Macaca fascicularis: one gene and its partners. The protein of the gene in region 2 binds, or shares a complex with, the protein of the main gene of each other region. Links are inferred from orthologs where the notes say so. Each region holds a gene or a part of one and is shown on either strand. Other genes may lie near its edges.

The links.
Region 1: the proteins of CALCRL (region 2) and ADM2 are in contact, whole or in part, in a cryo-EM structure (PDB 6UVA), measured with the Homo sapiens proteins. The link is inferred for Macaca fascicularis from reciprocal best matches to the Homo sapiens genes CALCRL and ADM2. Residues at the interface, in NP_001258680.1 of Homo sapiens: Val36, Thr37, Lys40, Asp70, Gly71, Trp72, Asp90, Tyr91, Phe92, Gln93, Asp94, Phe95, Asp96, Pro97, Ser98, His114, Ala116, Ser117, Thr120, Trp121, Thr122, Tyr124, Thr125, Asn128, Thr131, Lys134, Val135, Ala138, Leu139, Leu141; in NP_001240774.1 of Homo sapiens: Leu106, Arg107, Val108, Gly109, Cys110, Val111, Leu112, Gly113, Thr114, Cys115, Gln116, Val117, Gln118, Asn119, Leu120, Ser121, His122, Arg123, Leu124, Trp125, Gln126, Leu127, Met128, Gly129, Pro130, Ala131, Gly132, Arg133, Gln134, Asp135.
Region 3: the proteins of CALCRL (region 2) and RAMP3 are in contact, whole or in part, in a cryo-EM structure (PDB 6UVA), measured with the Homo sapiens proteins. The link is inferred for Macaca fascicularis from reciprocal best matches to the Homo sapiens genes CALCRL and RAMP3. Residues at the interface, in NP_001258680.1 of Homo sapiens: Arg38, Asn39, Met42, Thr43, Gln45, Tyr46, Glu47, Tyr49, Gln50, Met53, Trp69, Asp70, Ser117, Arg119, Thr120, Phe228, Leu231, Ile235, His238, Thr239, Val243, Val245, Lys249, Gln250, His251, Trp254, Tyr255, Phe257, Leu258, Phe262; in NP_005847.1 of Homo sapiens: Trp56, Cys57, Leu59, Phe62, Ile63, Tyr66, Glu67, Thr70, Cys82, Tyr83, Pro85, Asn86, Pro87, Leu88, Gln90, Ile93, Thr94, His97, Arg98, Cys104, Thr105, Val106, Asp107, Arg108, His110, Leu111, Glu112, Asp113, Pro114, Val118.
Region 4: the proteins of CALCRL (region 2) and RAMP2 are in contact, whole or in part, in a crystal structure (PDB 3AQF), measured with the Homo sapiens proteins. The link is inferred for Macaca fascicularis from reciprocal best matches to the Homo sapiens genes CALCRL and RAMP2. Residues at the interface, in NP_001258680.1 of Homo sapiens: Arg38, Asn39, Ile41, Met42, Thr43, Gln45, Tyr46, Glu47, Tyr49, Gln50, Lys51, Ile52, Met53, Gln54, Trp69, Asp70, Gly71, Arg119; in NP_005845.2 of Homo sapiens: Trp86, Ile89, Tyr93, Ser94, Arg97, Leu109, Gly110, Pro112, Glu117, Ile120, Phe121, His124, Gln125, Phe128, Ala129, Cys131, Ser132, Leu133, Val134.

What each region holds. Positions count from the first base shown.
Region 1 is NC_088384.1:1,082,188-1,086,259, forward strand, and holds the start of ADM2 (protein ADM2), read right to left. Parts: upstream 2,832-4,072; 5' UTR 2,557-2,831; coding exon 2,447-2,556; intron 1,848-2,446; coding exon 1,511-1,847; 3' UTR 1-1,510. UniProt on the Homo sapiens protein: Intermedin/ADM2 is a peptide hormone that plays a role as physiological regulator of gastrointestinal and cardiovascular bioactivities mediated by the CALCRL-RAMPs receptor complexes.
Region 2 is NC_088386.1:82,971,028-82,974,584, forward strand, and holds part of CALCRL (calcitonin gene-related peptide type 1 receptor), read right to left. Parts: intron 2,953-3,557; coding exon 2,799-2,952; intron 1,335-2,798; coding exon 1,274-1,334; intron 1,192-1,273; coding exon 1,125-1,191; intron 1-1,124. UniProt on the Homo sapiens protein: G protein-coupled receptor which specificity is determined by its interaction with receptor-activity-modifying proteins (RAMPs). Together with RAMP1, form the receptor complex for calcitonin-gene-related peptides CALCA/CGRP1 and CALCB/CGRP2.
Region 3 is NC_088377.1:85,177,164-85,181,329, reverse strand, and holds the start of RAMP3 (receptor activity-modifying protein 3), read left to right. Parts: upstream 1-1,350; 5' UTR 1,351-1,388; coding exon 1,389-1,446; intron 1,447-4,166. UniProt on the Homo sapiens protein: Accessory protein that interacts with and modulates the function of G-protein coupled receptors including calcitonin gene-related peptide type 1 receptor (CALCRL), calcitonin receptor (CALCR) and G-protein coupled estrogen receptor 1 (GPER1).
Region 4 is NC_088390.1:63,817,497-63,821,698, reverse strand, and holds RAMP2 (receptor activity-modifying protein 2), read right to left. Parts: upstream 2,754-4,202; 5' UTR 2,752-2,753; coding exon 2,532-2,751; exon of another isoform or gene 2,283-2,531; coding exon of another isoform or gene 2,186-2,282; intron 1,719-2,185; coding exon 1,653-1,718; intron 1,191-1,652; coding exon 1,082-1,190; intron 949-1,081; coding exon 693-948; 3' UTR 506-692; downstream 1-505. UniProt on the Homo sapiens protein: Accessory protein that interacts with and modulates the function of G-protein coupled receptors including calcitonin gene-related peptide type 1 receptor (CALCRL) and calcitonin receptor (CALCR). Required for the transport of CALCRL to the plasma membrane.

The DNA of each region.
Region 1 (4,072 bases), on a different chromosome or scaffold from region 2:
AGTGCTTCTCCCAGGGAGCCGGCCTTGACTGCCTTGCTGTGCGGCCCACCACCCTGACCACCTCTGCTGCAACCCTAGTCCATCTCCCAGTGCACGGAGGCCTCCACAGGGCAGGATCAGCCTGGACTGTTCCCACAGGGCCTCATGGAGCACAGGTCAGTTACCTGGACCCGGCGATCCCTGAGCTCAGGGAGCAAGCACAGAGGCGGCGCCTGGGTGGGCGCTTCCAGGACCCTCCCCTTTGGAGGTAGTCACTGAGGGGCAGGCTGTGGGGGAATGTCCTGAGCTCTGCTGTAGCCTCTAGAGTTGGGGTGATCATGGTGACCCTCATGGGGTGGCTGAGAGGGTGACCCTAGCAAACATTTGCAAATTAAATGCTGAGTGTTTGCTAAGTAGCGGAAGGAACCCTTTCTGAACCCCGCGTTCTGCTGGACGACTGGGAGCCTCGAGTGGCACACGCACATGAGCCCCCATCTCCCCGGGGAAGAACACACACCAAGTCCGTGCACACTGGCAGTGGTTCTTGTTCTTGTCATTTGGGGCTGGGCTGCCCTCCCGGGCTCTTGGCGAGTCACCTGCTGCCCCCACACCTGGTTCCACTGGGCCCCCACACTGGGTGGTGGTGGGGCGCCTGGGTTGCCTGTGGAGCCCCACCCTTGTCTGGCTGCCAACAAGGGTCTCACCCCCTTGAGGTGGGGTGGGTCTATTTGGGCTGGGGGATCTTGCCTCACCCAGCCCTGCCCTGTCCTGGGGTAGGAAGGGGTGTCCCTGTCCCAGAATGGTTTGGGGTGGCTTCTGAACTGCTGAGTTCCCCTCCCCGGCCTCCCACAGGGCATCCAGATGGAGTCCCCATGGCTACCTCAGTCTGGGCTCCAGGGTTGGCAGCTGGAGCCACAGAGGTCCCTTCATGACCTCTGGAGGGCCACCATCCTTCCCTTGCCCAACCCCAGGGGGCTATAGCATCCCACACTCCCTGTCCTGTCCCAAAGGCATGGGGAGGGAGAGGCTGGGACCCCCGGCCAGGCAGGCACGTGGAAGGGCTGGTTGTGCATGACAGCAGGAACAGCCCAGGCACAAGGCCGGGCTTCAGTCTGACTGGACCAGCAGTGGAGGGGCCGCTTCCGGCCAATTCAGCCCCTCTCCCCTGTTCGTCCAGACGTGGCCCTGTGGGTTCAGGGCCCAGCTTCTGCTCCACGTCCCTGGCAGATGCCTCCTTTTTAAAACGCTTTTTAGCATCTGGTGCTGCCACCAGCTGGGTCTGGCAGCCATCCCCCAAGGGTTTACAATTTCAGGGTGTTTAGGCTCCTTGACATACCAGCACTGCATATAGACCAGCCTCGGTCTACAGGTGTGCAAGGGTTTACGTGTGCGACGCCGTGCAGGCATTGTTGCTGCAGGACCTGCTGTCTGCAGCTCCGCGGGACTGGGCTGCGGAGGGGGCTCAGCTGCAGCTCTGGACGGGGGCACAGCACCCTGGCTGGGATGGCCAGGGGTGTGGCCCAGCCCCACTTCAGCCATAGCTGTGGGGGCTGCTGGGGTCCACAGGAGCTGAGTCCTGCCGGCCAGCCGGTCCCATGAGTTGCCACAGGCGGTGGCTGAGATTCTGCACCTGACAGGTGCCCAGCACACAGCCCACTCGCAGGAGCTGGGCTTGGGTCCTGCGGGAGCCCGAGTGTCTTCGGGGGCCCGAGTGTTGGCGGCCACCATCCCGGAGAGGCTGACCCATAGCAGGGGCCAGGCCAGCACCCCTCTGTGGCTGGAGGGCCTGGTGAAGCTTCCAAACCACAGGTCGGGGTGCGGGGTGCCTGGGCTGCAGGTTGCTGGAAGGGGTCCGGGCTGGGGGCTCCCTGCAGAGGCAGATGGAGAATGTCAACTGGATGGCTCAGCCTTTCAGAGACCTCACACCTACCCACTTTTGCCTCTACACAGGCCTGGGTCACTGCCAGGGGAAGCCCACGGCCCCCACCCACACACAGCCTGGAGCATAGCCAGGGGAAGCCCACGCGTCCCCTCTGGGCTTGGGGCCTGGGACCATCTCAGTGGCCCGGGTCACGTGTCCTGGGAACCGGCACCTCCTTGAGCAAAGGGCACCCCCGCGGCCCAGCCTCTGCGGGTCACCACTCTCAGGGCTCAGGGTGACTCAGCTTCTGCCCTCCCTTTGGTCACAGGTGGGCCTGGGGATACCGCCAGCCTTCCCTCCCCCAGCAGACACCCCCAGAAAAGGGGCTGCTGTGTCCACCTGTGTGGGGAGAAGCAACTGCCCTGTGCAGGGAGGCAGAGGAAGAGGGTCCTCTGGCCCTGCTCAGGCGCTGCTGAGCCTGGGGCAGGGGCCTTGGTTTGGGACGGGAGCCCTAGCAGCAGGTGGCGGTTGGAGGGAGGGCGGCCCCCGGCACTCTGCTTCCCTGTGGGGGCCAGAGGGGCTGGCTGGCCCAAGACCTGGACTCACCTGGGTTTGACGGGACGCGGGTCCCCGCCCAGGCTGCGGGACAGCACGCCAGGGAGCTGCAGGCAGAGGAGGCTGATGCAACCCAGGGCGGCCGTCGGGATCCGGGCCATGGCGGGCGGCGCTGCGGGGGAGGGAGCGGTGAGCCGGGCAGGTCGGGGGCAGCCTGAGCCGCGAGCCACCCCCTCCGCCGGCACCTCGGGGAGCCCTCCGCGGTCGGGGCACCGGGCGTGGGTATGGCAAGCTGGGCACGGGCGTCCGTCGGGGCGCAGGCCTCGGGCGCGAAGCGGGCAGCGGGTCTGGGGTCGGCCGCGGGTCCAGAGCGCAAGGCGGAGCGGGCTGGGCGGGTTGGGGGTCCTGTCTGGAGCAGAGTCGCGGCCCGGATGGCACCTCTGGAGCTGAATACGTAGCCTTTCCAGCAAGGGGCGGAGCCGGGTGCACGGACGGGGCGGGGCGCCCCTGCCCCGGGCTAAGCCACGCTCCGGGGCGGGGAGGGGGCTGTTCCCGCCGGGAGCGCTCGGCGACGGGCCCGGGACCGCGGGGCTGCCAGCCTCACTCCAGGCGCCTTCTAGTGGGGACGCAGCCCCGAGCCTGGGGGGGCCGGTCTTCCCCAGGCTGAAGCGGGGTTCTAGGGGGCGAGCCGTAGTCCAAGCTGATCCCACGGCTGGGGCGGACTCTCACCCTGTCAACCACCTCCCGATTGGTGGGTCCTGGCGGTCCCACCCTCCAGGGTCTGATCCGGTGGACCCCGGACCCGGGCCTGACCAGGGAGTCCGCGGGATTCCGCTATCGTCTGACGCGGTGTCCCCAAACCCGGGGCTGCGCTCCTAAAAAGCTCTACCTACCGCCAGCCGCTCCAACCCCAGACCAAAGTATTGCACGGTTTCTGTAACAAATCTAAACAAGTGTCCGGGCGCGGTGGCTCACTCCGGTAATTCCAGCAATTTGGGAAGCCGAGGCGGGCGGATCACCTGAGGCCTGGAGTTTGAGACTAGCCTGGCCAACATGGAGAAACCCGTCTCTACTAAAAATAAAATTAGCTGGTCATGGGCCGGTGGGGCGCGGAGGCTCACGCTTGTAATCCCAGCACTGTGGGAGGCCGAGGCGAGTGGATCACGAGGTCAGGAGATCAAGACCATCCTGGCTAACACGGTGAAACTCCCTCTCTATTAAAAATACAAAAAATGAGCCGGGCGTGGTGGCGGGCGCCTGTAGTCCCAGCTACTCGGGAAGCTGAGGCAGGAGAATGGTGTGAACCCGGGAGGCGGAGCCACTGCACTCCAGCCTGGGGGACAGAGCTAGACTCCGCCTCCGAACCCCCCCCAAAAAAATTAGCTGGGCTTGGTGGCGGGTCCCTGTAATCTCAGCCACTTGGGAGGCTGAGGCAGGAAAGGCTGAGGCTTGAACCCAGGCGGTGGAGGTTACAGTGAGCTGAGATCGTGCCATTGCATTCCAGCTTGGGCGACAGAGTGAGACTCCGTCTCAAAAATTAAAAAAAAAAAGAAATTTAAACAAGTGAAACGTGAGACTCTCCTCATCATTACCACCCACTGGGTACCCCTACCCCGGTCTGGGTGGGAGCCCTCTCCTGACCCGCCCTGGGCACACCAAGGTGCGGCCGTGTGAGGC
Region 2 (3,557 bases):
CTTAAAGTATAACAACAACAAAAAAATGAATAGCAGCTGTAACTAAAATACCACTCTGAAGGACTGTAATTGCATTATGATCTCTAATACTCTCTGAGACAAAGCATACTAGATTGCTAGTTTGTATTAATTTACTTTCTCATTCAAATAATGTAATACACTTGTAATCCCAGCAGTTGTGGAGGCCAAGACAGAAGGATCCCTGGAGCCCAGGAGTTTGAGACCAGCCTGGGGAACATAGTGAGATCCGTCTCTATAAAAATGTTTTAAAAACTTATCCAAGCATAGTAGTGTATACCTAGTCTTAGCTTCTCAGGAGCCTGAGGTGGGAGGATCCGTTAAACCCAGGAGTTAGGGGCTGCAGTGAGCTATGATCATTCCACTGCACTCTAGTCTGGGCAACAGAGCAAGACTTTTTTTCAATTAAAATAATAAAAAATAATAATAGTGTAATAAAAGCATCGAATGTGACTTCTGTTTTTCTGCAATCACACTAAAATGTCTAATTGGTGCACTGACATTAAGTGATAATAATTATAATGTAAAATTTACATAAGTATTTTGTTTTATCTTGTTTGTCACCTCCCACCCCCCTGCTAATTCATCCTCTATTCCTCTCTGTGCCACAGGAGGCTGATGTCTGTGAACAGCTTCACCCAGACTTCCTTGCCCTGAGACATTTGCTGCATCTGGCTAATGGGGGAAAAAAAGATAAGAGTATGGGAATAAAGATAAATTCGAGTCTTTGTTTCTGCTGCCTCTATTCTGCCAGGCTGTGGTTTTGGCAGTGGTTGTTTTTCTCCAATCAAAATCAGATCTCTTACTGGGTGACTCCTCCCAGTGCTCATTTCACTACACTAACACTTCTCTCTTCAGGTCTACCTGTGATAACAGCATTCCACTGTTGATCCCCAATGGCTCACCATCCCTTACTAATTAGTTACTTTGCCTTTCCTGCCTATACATCAAATATGATACCTTCACTAAACTCTACTCATTTAAGCACTGTGAACATGCATATCCATCTGTGTCCACTGGGACCCTGAAGGATATCATAGGCCAGATGGTTCAGAAATAAAGTTGAAATGTGAGCAATGATAAGGAAAGGAGAATTTGTTACATACCAGTAAAGCAGCACAAATTGGGCCATGGATAATATAGAGGAGATGGGTATCAGAACTGATCCAGCAACTAGAGAAAACATAAAAACATTATGTTGAAAATTTTTATTTTACATTATTCCAGTAGAAATAATAAAAAGAGATTTTCTTACTTGTCATTGTAATATAAGCTTCTAGCAATGGCATGTATACAAGCAGGAATCAGTGGAAATCCTATAATACCAAAGAAAAAGAAAATAAATTGGATTTTTTTCTACAGATGGTATTTCAAAAATATATAATTAAATACAAAAATTCAAAGATACTCTAGAAGCAAAAAAACTAGCCACTGTATATTTGTTGAATAAACATTATTTGTATAGTCAACAATACACATTATAAAGTATTAGATATTTACATTTTTATGTTTGTGTGTATGTGTGTGTATGTTTTCTTCTACTATAATTCATAGGTCATTTTGAATCAGTGGACTTCAGAACTTAACTCTTAAGATGTGTTTCCTAAGCCACAAGGATTAGAAGAAATTCAGCATTCATGTACTTTCTGTGAGATGGAATTGGCCAATATTTGGTACATTATCAGATGTGGAAAAAAGGTGAGAATCACAAGAACTTCCACTATGAGAGAGATTACTACTAGTAAGCCATTATTTGAAGAAGAGGAGAAAAAAAAGAGATTAATTTATGTACCAAAAATTTGGCAGGCTTTGAACATTCTAAATCAGCTCTTCCAAATATGAAATTAAGCAATGCTTTATAAAGTCAATCAGAATACACTAAAATTGTGTGTGTGCGTGTGTGTGTATATTACACCTCTGTATATGTTTTTCTTTCTAGATATAGATGATAGCTTAGATAGATGATAGAGATAGATAGATAGATAGATAGATGATAGAGATAGATATAGATAGATAGATAGATAGATAGATAGATAGATAGACAGACAGACAGACAGACAGACAGATAGATAGATAGATAGATAGATAGATAGATAGATAGATAGATAGATAGATAGATAGATAGATGGTAGGGTAGATATATGATAATAGATAAGTACAACTTCAGTTTTGTTTCTGGAAACTAGTCCTGTTAAATTCATTTCTGCACTTCATATTTTGTATTATTCCAGTTATTTTTAGTATGTCAGAAGTATATCACTGTTTTCTTTGTGAATAATGCCACATCAGAAGATTGTGTGGAAAAAAATAAATCTGTTGCATGCCTTTATTCAATTACTAATCCCTCTACTCTTATCATAAAATGACAATATTTTAAACAAATATTTTTAGAATGGAACTTCAAAGATGTTTAAATCCAATGCTCTCATTTTACACGTGGCAAAAATGAATATTCAGAATAGTAAAAAGACTAAATCTTTAATTTATCATTCTACTTCTATTGTTTTAGTCACTACATAGTCAGTCAAGTTACCCTCTTCATTGGCATATTCAATAGAAAAAAAGACACTATTATATATTGACTTGTGACTACTGAAAACAATAGATGAGTCAGTGATTCTTTGCTTAAAATGTTGCAATTTGCAATAATAGGCAAAAGTTAATCACCTGATACTTTAAAAATGATTACTCATTGGTATATTCGTATTACAAAGGAACCTGGCATCCTCCAAAGGCTTTTTTAATCCATTGAATCAACAAGTATGTATAATAACACTTACCCCAGCCAAGAAAATAATACCACATTAAGTGTTGCTTCTCTGCAAACACAGCCACCACGATGAGTGTGTGTAGGTAAATGCCTTCACAGAGCATCCAAAAGTAATTACAGCCCATCAGGTAAAGATGAATGAACTGGGACACTTTGCAACTAACCTGTGAGAAGAAAAAAACAATATTTACTTGTTTATGAATTGACATGTAAAACAATAGTTTTAGCTCAGGAAACATGGAACTTTCTCCCCTCCACACAAAATCCCATACATTAATGATTAGAATTTGTGGAATGCCAGTCTTCCTATTCATCTAATGATGCCTTTAAAGTTTTTAGCCACAGACTCCAAAGATTTATAATGGTATATCTTCCAGAAAAGTCTAAATTCTAAATCTACTTTATTTAGTGAATGTGTATTTTCTGAATGTGTTTTTGTTATTATGTAATTATAAGTATAAAAGTGTCACACATAAATAACTTTACACTTATTTACATCATCATGAATCCCTTGACTGTTGCATTCTGCTGAAAATAATAGTAATTTTACAACCAATTCATTAAAAGTGCCCAAATACTTGAAAAGTTTTGCATATTACATGCTCCTCATGCAAATGCTTATTAAATAATCATCTAATATATCCAAAGGTTATCCTATCCAAATATGGGGTTTGAGGGCTTTGTGTAAGTAAAAAGAGGACCAGATTATTGTTTCCCTTCTGTTTTTCCTGAGGTCTCTATTTTTGCTTCTCTACTTTAAAAGAGGCAA
Region 3 (4,166 bases), on a different chromosome or scaffold from region 2:
CACAGAAAGTTCTGCTCCCAAATAAGGGTCTTGTTAAATAAAGTGGGTCTTTCTAAGCCAGGAGAAGGTCAGCTCAGCTCCTGGGAAGGTAGCAGTACCTACGGCTCAGAGGAGTGGAGGGCCCATCCGTGTGGGAGCCTGGGCCTGTGCTCCAACCTCAGACCAGCATGCGCCCCCAGGGGTGGTGGGTGGGCCCTGGAGGGCAGAGAGGGGCCTCTAGCTGGCTCTCGGAAGTCCTGGCCAGTGACAATTCTGCAGACACCATCAAGTGTCCACTGGAGCCAGGGCCTGTGCTAGGGGCTGAGGATGACAGAGGCGACCCATCTGGCTAAGTGACCTGTGGCTGGAGAAACTGAGGCCTTCCTTCCCCTCAGGAACCCTGACACTCTCCGAGGCCAGGTCTTTGGGGGCGCCAGATACTCTTGTCCCTCGGTTTGCTTGTGGCTTGGTCCTTGATGTGTGATATATCTCTGTGTGTAGCTGCCACATCCTCCAGTCTCTCTCATACACACTGTTTCCCAAGCACACACTCACAAACACACCTTGTCTCAGACTCAAACTCACACATGCCACACACACACCATACATCACACACTCCATGCACACACATGCATCTACACATACTCCACATGCACATCACACACATATTCCATGAACACCACACACACACACACACACACACACACACACACACCCCAACCTCCTTCATGCACTTTCCTGACCCTTGGAGACCTGGCTCCTAGATGTGTCTCTGCTCAAAGGTCCCCTCCCTGCCTGGGGGCAGCTCTGGACTCTGGTCTACTTTCGGCCAGGGCACACCTAGCCCACCCCCAGGTCCACCTTCCTCCAGTCTACCCGCAGCCTCCTCTAGGCCATCATCAGTCCGCGCTTCATCCACACCTCAGCTCCCTCCCCGGTCTACCCCCACACTCTGCCCCCAGCCTGGACGGAAGTTCCCCAAGTCCTTCCAGCCTGCAGCCCAGCCTACCATCAGCCGGCCCCCACTCTCACTCCAGCTCACCTCCCAGCCTGCCCCTGCAGTCTGCTCCCAAAACGCTCCTTTGCAGCTCAGCACCCCAGTCCCGCCCTCAGAGCCGGCACCCCACCTTACCCCAGCTAGTCCCCAGCTCGAAACCCAGCCCTCACCCCACTCTCACCCCCGCTGAGATTCCAGCCCAGACTCCAGCCGCCCCCTGTCCCTCCCACCCGGCGCGCCTGCAAGGCCTGCACCCCACATCTGGAGGTAACGGGCACGGCTGGAGGCGTGGTCTGGGGGGTGCGGCCTGGGGGCGGACTCCCTGAGGCCCCGCCCCACCCCAATCCCATCCGGGCGTCCCCGGTTGCACCCCCAGCCGGACCAAGCGTGACCCAGCCGCGGCCGGCCAGCCATGGAGACTGGAGCGCGGCGGCGCCCGCAACTTCTCCCGCTGCTGCTGCTGCTCTGCGGTAAGGGGGCGTCGACCCGCACCGGAGGCGCCCCCACTTCCCGGAGTTCATCGGACCCGCGTGGACCCGCGCCTTCCTGCACCTGCGCCGCAGTCCTTCCTTTCCCCCTGAGCTCGGGAGGGGCGCACAGCGACCCTGGCGGGCTCCCCAGGCTCTGCGGGAGGGTTCACCCGGGAGAAGCTGAAGGCAAAGAACTCTGGCGGGCAAGGGAGGCACAGGGTCCCCTCCGGGCTCTTCTGCCGGCGGGGTCCGGCAGTCCCCGCTCCTCCTAGTTGTGATGTCCCCCCACGCCCCAGTTCTGGGGTCGCCTCAGGGTGGGCGAGAGAGGAGGCGGACCAGGCCTGGCTCTTTCCCCCTTCCCCCTAGGATGGGTTGTCGGTGAGGTAGTGAGCTCCCTGTCCTGGCATTGAGTGCCTGCCCACCACTCACAGGGGCGTGGGCGGGTGGACTCCGGACTGCGTAGCTGGTCCTAGCAGGGCCCTTCAGTGTGTGGACGCTTGTGTGTGTCTTGGAACTGGCTGACAGGGGAAGCGGGGCGACTCTCTGAGCCATCCTCTCCTAATGTCTTCTTCCGCAATAAATCAGGACTCTGGGGAGAACCGTTGCTCACAAAATGGAAACAGATTAAACTAAAAGCTTATTTTGAACTACCTTACTAAAGAAATTATCCAAGAGAAAGTGAGAGAGAGAGAGAGAGAGAGAGAGGAGGGGGGGGGAGAGAGAGAGAGAGAGAGAGAGAGAATGTGTGTAAGGGCTGTTGGGGAAGAGTGCTTGCTGAGGGCTGGAGTACACTAAGTGGCGACTGAGCCTGGCCAGTTCTGGGGGGACACTGGTGAGGGAGGGCCCTGGTCTGGTGGTCCCCAGTTTCCCTGACTGTAAGATGCAGCGTTGGGCCTGTTTTGATGATTTGGGATTTGGTAAGGGAGGTGGGAAAAGGGTGGACCAAACTCAGTGTTCATTTTCCTTCCATTGAAGAGGTCTTGGTGTGCAGAACATGTGTGGCTTCATTTGGTGTTCCAGGGCTGGAGCCTAGGACGTGGTTCATTTTGTGTTGAAGTGCAAAGGTGCGTGGCAGCTTCTGAAATCAGGAACATGCTGATTTGGGATTTCAGCAAACTTCCAGTGAGCTCCCCTCAGGTGGAGATCTTGGTCACTATAATGGAAGGAAGGTCCTCTGAATTCATTCTGGGAGAAGCTGAGGCTTTCCTAACCATCTCCAGTATGGAATTGAGAAGGACCACAGGCTTCCGCCTGCACAGAATCCCTCCTCTTAATAATCCTGTCTCTTGTGGACCCAGTTCCTGAGGGTCACTTCTTTGTCTTGTTGTGTTGGTCCTGACTGTCCCCCTCCAATGGGACATGGGTTCATGCTCCCTGGCCAGAATGGGGACCAGGCCCAGCTTCTCAGCAGACCCTCCCAGTGTTTGCCTGGCCAGAGTGAGATTCAGAGAGAGGTAAAACTTGCTCATGGTTCCAGGCTGATGTGTCAGAGGTGGGACTGGAGCCCACATCTGCCCTGGATGCTGCTGTATCTGGAAGGAAGGAGCTGGGTGGGTTCCTCTTGAGTGAGGACTGGCTCAGGGGGACCAGCAGGGAGGGTGCTGACCTCTGGGGCTTCTTTGAGAATTCCAAACCTTTTTCCAGAAAGCATTTGATGCTGTGCAGGGCTGTGGGGATGCAAAGTCCAGCAGTTGTCTACTCAGCAGGATGCTTTGCTGTTTTCTATTTTGATTCAGTTCCTGCGACTTTTACTAATGCAGCCAGTAGTCCAGCCCTTGACTGGACTCTTTTGGTCTGGGTGAAAATCCCGATCATGATCCCAAGATTACAAAGCACTCACTGGCCTCAGTTTCCCAGCTGCAATGTAGATGTAATAGTAGCAACCTGCAAAGGGCTGCTGAGACCGTCAGTTTGATTCCATTCAGTTTAGTCTTTATCGTCTTGTGTTGGGCATGGGATTGTGGGGTGGAAGGATTCATGCTTAAACAAGGGGAGGTGTAGGAAGGCACCCACCAGTGACTGCACTGGGCCTCATGAGGCTCACTCACAGCACCCAAAGATGGAGCACCATAGTGTGTGTGCCTGTGTGTGCAAGCATGGTACCACCATTTTTATCACTAAATGATGTCCTGCTACCATGTTACCTGTGGTCACATTGATTCTGCTGAATCAAGTGGGCCCAAGGGCCGTGGTTGGATAGCAGTAACTCTGGTGAATTAAAGACTTGGAGGTGGCAGGCCGGGGGCAGTGGCTCACGCCTGTAATCTCAGCACTTTGGGAGGCCGAGCAGATCACGAGGTCAGGAGTTTGAGACCATCCTGGCCAACATGGTGAAACCCCATCTCTACTAAAAATACAAAAAATTAGCTGGGTGTGGTGATGCATGCCTGTAGTCTCAGCTACTCGGGAGGCTGAGACAGGGGAATCACTTGAACCTGGGAGGCGGAGATTGCAGTGAGCCGAGATTGTGCCATTGCACTCCAGCCTGGTGACAAAGCGAGATTCTGTCAAAAAAAAAAAAAAAAAAAAAAAAAAAAAAAAGAAGACTTGATGGTGGTGATTGGCCAAGAAGAGGCCCATAGATTTTTGGCACTGGAGGTTCCTTGGAGGTTATCTGACCTCCATGCTCTTACCTACTCTTCATAAGGAAACAGAAGTCTGGAGGGTTGAGAGGAAGTTGCCCAACCACAGAGAACAGGGGCAGAACCACCCAGAATCCA
Region 4 (4,202 bases), on a different chromosome or scaffold from region 2:
AAGGGAGGTGGAGGGGGGTTGTGAACCTAGTAAAGGAAGCCCCCACTGCTTTCTCCCACATTTGTGAGGTCCTTAGGAATGGATTCCTGTTGCTCAGTCAGGGTTCCTCTTCCCAGGCCCTGGGAGTAAACTGAGGCATGAAGAAGGGGAATAGTCAGGGCTCCTGGGCAGCCTCCTGCTCCTCTTGCAGGAGTCACAAGCACAGATTTTTCCTTTGCCCCTTCCCCCACACCTCCTCAGTTGCAGGCCCCCAGCTGCTGTCCAGACCGGAAGGGAGTCTCTTCCTGCTTGTTTCCTGGAGCTGAGTTTGGATAAGGACAGGAAAGGCCCGCCTGGGAGGAAAGAATATAGGGGTGTGACCTTCATGGAGGCAGGGAGCAGGGGGGCAGGTGAAATGAACAGAACAATGGGCCATCCAGATTTTTCCAGTTCTACTACCCAGAGCTGAGGGCCTATGGGAGTGGCAGGGAAGGACACAGGTTCCACTGAAATGGGAAGAAGGACATTGTACAAAAAAAGTTTTATTTTGAAGATTACAGAACTTGTGCCATTACCCCACCCGGCTTCCATTCCCAGCAATCCAGGGATCTGTGGTGGGGAAGAGAGTGAGAAAAGGGAGTAAGAGGGGAGGAGGGAGGCCTGGTTGGTGTGGGGAAGTGGAGTAAGGTGGTTATAGAGAAGCTCGTGGCTCCCTAGGCCTGGGCCTCACTGTCTTTACTCCTCCATACTACAAGAGTGATAAGGAAGGGGATGAGGCAGATGGGGGCTATGATCATGGCCAGGAGTACATCCTCTGGGGGGTCAGAGAAGGTGGGCTGCACCAGGGAGCAGTTGGCAAAGTGGATCTGGTGAGTCTCAAAGATGATCCTCTCTGCCAAGGGATTGGGGAAGCCCAGGTCAAACAACTCCGCAAAGTGCTCCAGGCATTCTCGCAGGGTGCTGTAAGGCCTAGGGGCAGAAGAGGACTTGAGTGAGGGAGGGGGTGGGCCCAGGGAGAAGAGTGCCCCACACTCACTCAAGGTCTACCTGCAATGAGCAGGCCCACCCCCTGGCCTGAGCCACCCTCCAGCACTGCCCCTACCTGCTAATCATGGCCCAGTCGCACCAATCCTTTTCGATAGAATCCATTTGATCCTTATAATGATTCCAGCAACATTGGACAGCTGTCTCATAGTTCTTCACCGTCACCCCTGTAGGTACAGATGCTGAACAATGACCACACCCCTGCCCCTCCCTCCAAACCCTCCTGCCCAGGTGCTTGCAAGGTGAACTGCCTGTCTTCAAACGTGGGAACCCTTCAGAAAGTTTCCCTAGCAAGACATTCTGGCGGAGGACAGAGTCCCAGCTCAGGAATCATGTAATGACTTCCATGTGCTAAGCACTTTCCATCCCAGCCTGATAAGAACTTCCACGTACACCTTTTCCTGGGGTCTTCTAGCCCACTTGTGAGGTGGGCAGCTCAGAGCCGCGCAGGGGCCGACCTGCACGTGAGAGGACAGGGAGAAAGACTGCAAGGAACCCCAAGAGAGAACAGAGGGGAGTTTAGTGGGGCATCAGCTGGGGTGGGGCAGGCCTTGTGGGAAAGGGACCCTCCCCACTGAACTTGCTGTCGTCCTTGCCCTCGGCCACCCTTCCACACCCCGGGTACCCACCTTCTGACCCCGTTGTGCCTGTGGTGGGAAGAGGCTGAGCCAGGGCCTCATGGGGCTTCAGGACAGCTGTGGGAAGAAACGGGAGAGGAGGGTAGCATAGCGGGGACCCAGGTAGTGGAGCCTGCGACGGGGTTGGGGGACTGAGACCCTCCGTAAACAGGGCTACCTTGGAAGAAAAGGAGGAATAATCTAGCCCCCACGGACGCCTCAGTGCCGGGGAGGGAGGGGCTGGCACCAGCTCCTAGTCACTCACACCCAGGCCCAAAGCCCCCTCACCTCTGGCCAGCTCCTGTCCTCCGAAGCCCTCTCCGCAGGGCCGGGGCCGGCACCCCAGCTTTCCCCGGGTGGGAAGCAGCTCGTGCTGCGCCCTCCCCGAGGTGGGGTCAGGGACCGTCCGAAGGCCAGTGCTGCTCGGTCCGTCGGTCCGCACCCGGACCCCGGGCCCGTTCCGGCCTCGGCCATCCAGCCCCTCTCCCCTCTCCCCTCCGGGGCCTCCCGCGCCTCCCTCCCGGGCCTCGGGGCGCCGCGCTCACCGCCCAGCAGGAGGAGGAGGCGGAGCGCTGCCGGCCGCCCGGCGCGGGTCCTAGGGAGCCGCGGGCCGCCGGCGCGCTCCACCCGGAGCCAGGCCATCGTGCAGCTAGGAGGCGAGGAGCGGCGGCTGCGCTGAGCCGGGCCCGGGTGTGGGGGCGCCTATATCCCCAGCCCAAGCTGCAGGAAGCCGCGCCGCTTCCTCGGAGGGGCTGGGACGGCGGCGGCCACGTGGGGGGCGGGGGCGACGCCCGGGGCCAGAGGCTGGAGGGGGAGTAGCTGCCGCACCCGCGCCTGGCGCCCGCGGCTCCCTCCGCTTCGCCGGCGTTGGCCCACCCTCTCGTAGCTCACCCCGCGAGGCTGGACAGCTCCCGGAACCCCGGAACCGGGATCTATTTCGGGGGCTCGGCTGCGTGGCGCCCAGGACTCTCCAGGGTCTCCCAGGATCGCTCCCTGGATTCAAGTCGCGCTCTCTCTCTTTCGGGTCTGTAGGGGTCGGCAAGCTGCTCTCCCAGACCTGGAGAACAGGGAGGAGGCTGGGAGCTCCAGCGGCCTCTCGACGCCGCTGCATCTAAAGGGCTGTCTTGGGTTGTGGGGCAAGGGGCGCCTGGAGCTGAGCCGGGCAGCTCAGGGTTCCTTATCCTATCCCTAGGAACACCCGCTGATGTCAGCCCACCAGCCAAAACCAGGGAGGAGAAGCGGGAGCCGGCCCTCCGGAGTCGGGAAAAGGTCTGCGGAGTGGGGTAGAGGGGAAAACAAAGTCCAAATACCCTCCCTTCAGATACCTCCTGGGGCCTAGACCCCACAAACCTGTTGTGGGGGGGACAAAATACGATGGCTACGTTCCCAGGAAGAAGGTGCCACAGTTCTTCAGGACCACGGTTGGGAGAAAGAAGGGAGGGGTTTTAGAACCTTCAGTGTGCCACTTCATGTGCCTGGTGAGTGTATCACCATTTTACAGACCAAGAAACTAAAGCTCAGGGCCAACAGCCCGGGATTTGAATTCAGAGGCTCTGGGTTCTAATTCTGCCTTCCTACTCCCCAGATATAGGGCCTTGAATGACACATTTACCTTTAGGACTTCTCGTGTAAAATAGGGACATTCGCTTCCTCACCAAACAGTGACGATGGCAGCTGTGAAAGGGCACTGCACTCGCTAAATGCTAGTTTCCTTTCCTCTTTTCCTAAGTGACTTATCTAAGGTCACACCGTTAAGGAAGCAGCAAGGCTGAGCCTGGGCCTCCAGGGGCCCTGACTTTGGCCACACCACAGTTGCCTCTTGTGTCCTGGGCCAGAGGTTCATTACTCTGAGGCAGCTGAGGAACCCAAGAGCTGGTTTGGCCATGATGTTCAAGTCCCAGACACAGCTGTCAGCACCAAACTTTCCTAAATTACTCCCAGACACTGACCTTTGGACTCAGCTGCTGCTGTTGTCCCAGTTTACTGCCCACCACAAATTATCTGTCATGATCTCTCTTGAAGTCTTCATCTCAGGATCTCAAGCTCTTGGATCATGGGCACAGATAACCTGTTGTCCTCCTCTATGGTCAAGAGGCTGCTTTTGCAAGGAATCCAGTGGGAGAGAGTCAATGGCCTGCTTGACGTGAACTCCAAAGTCCTCCTGGTAAGGATCATTTCTATAATGATTCAGAAAGGAGCCAGGCAGTCTCCAAGACGTTTCAGGCTGGGACCAAATCTAGTCCTTCCTGCCTGCCTAGGATTGCTCCTTTCAAGAAGGAAACATGGTAGATTTCTGGGTGATAAGATGGGAGGAGGGAGCAAGGAGGTGCAGAAAGCAAAACAAGCCATTTTCACTGGGTTGGGGCCAGAAGCACATGAGCCCACTATGGGTTAGGACTGGGGTTGGGGTCAAGATTAAAGGGGACAAAAGCAAATGTTAGATTTAAAATAGAGCCTGGGCATCATAGTGAAGCCTTGTCTCTACAAAAAAAAAATAATAATAATTTTAAATTAGCCTGGCATAGTGATATGCACCTGTAGTCCCAGCTACTCGGGAGGCTG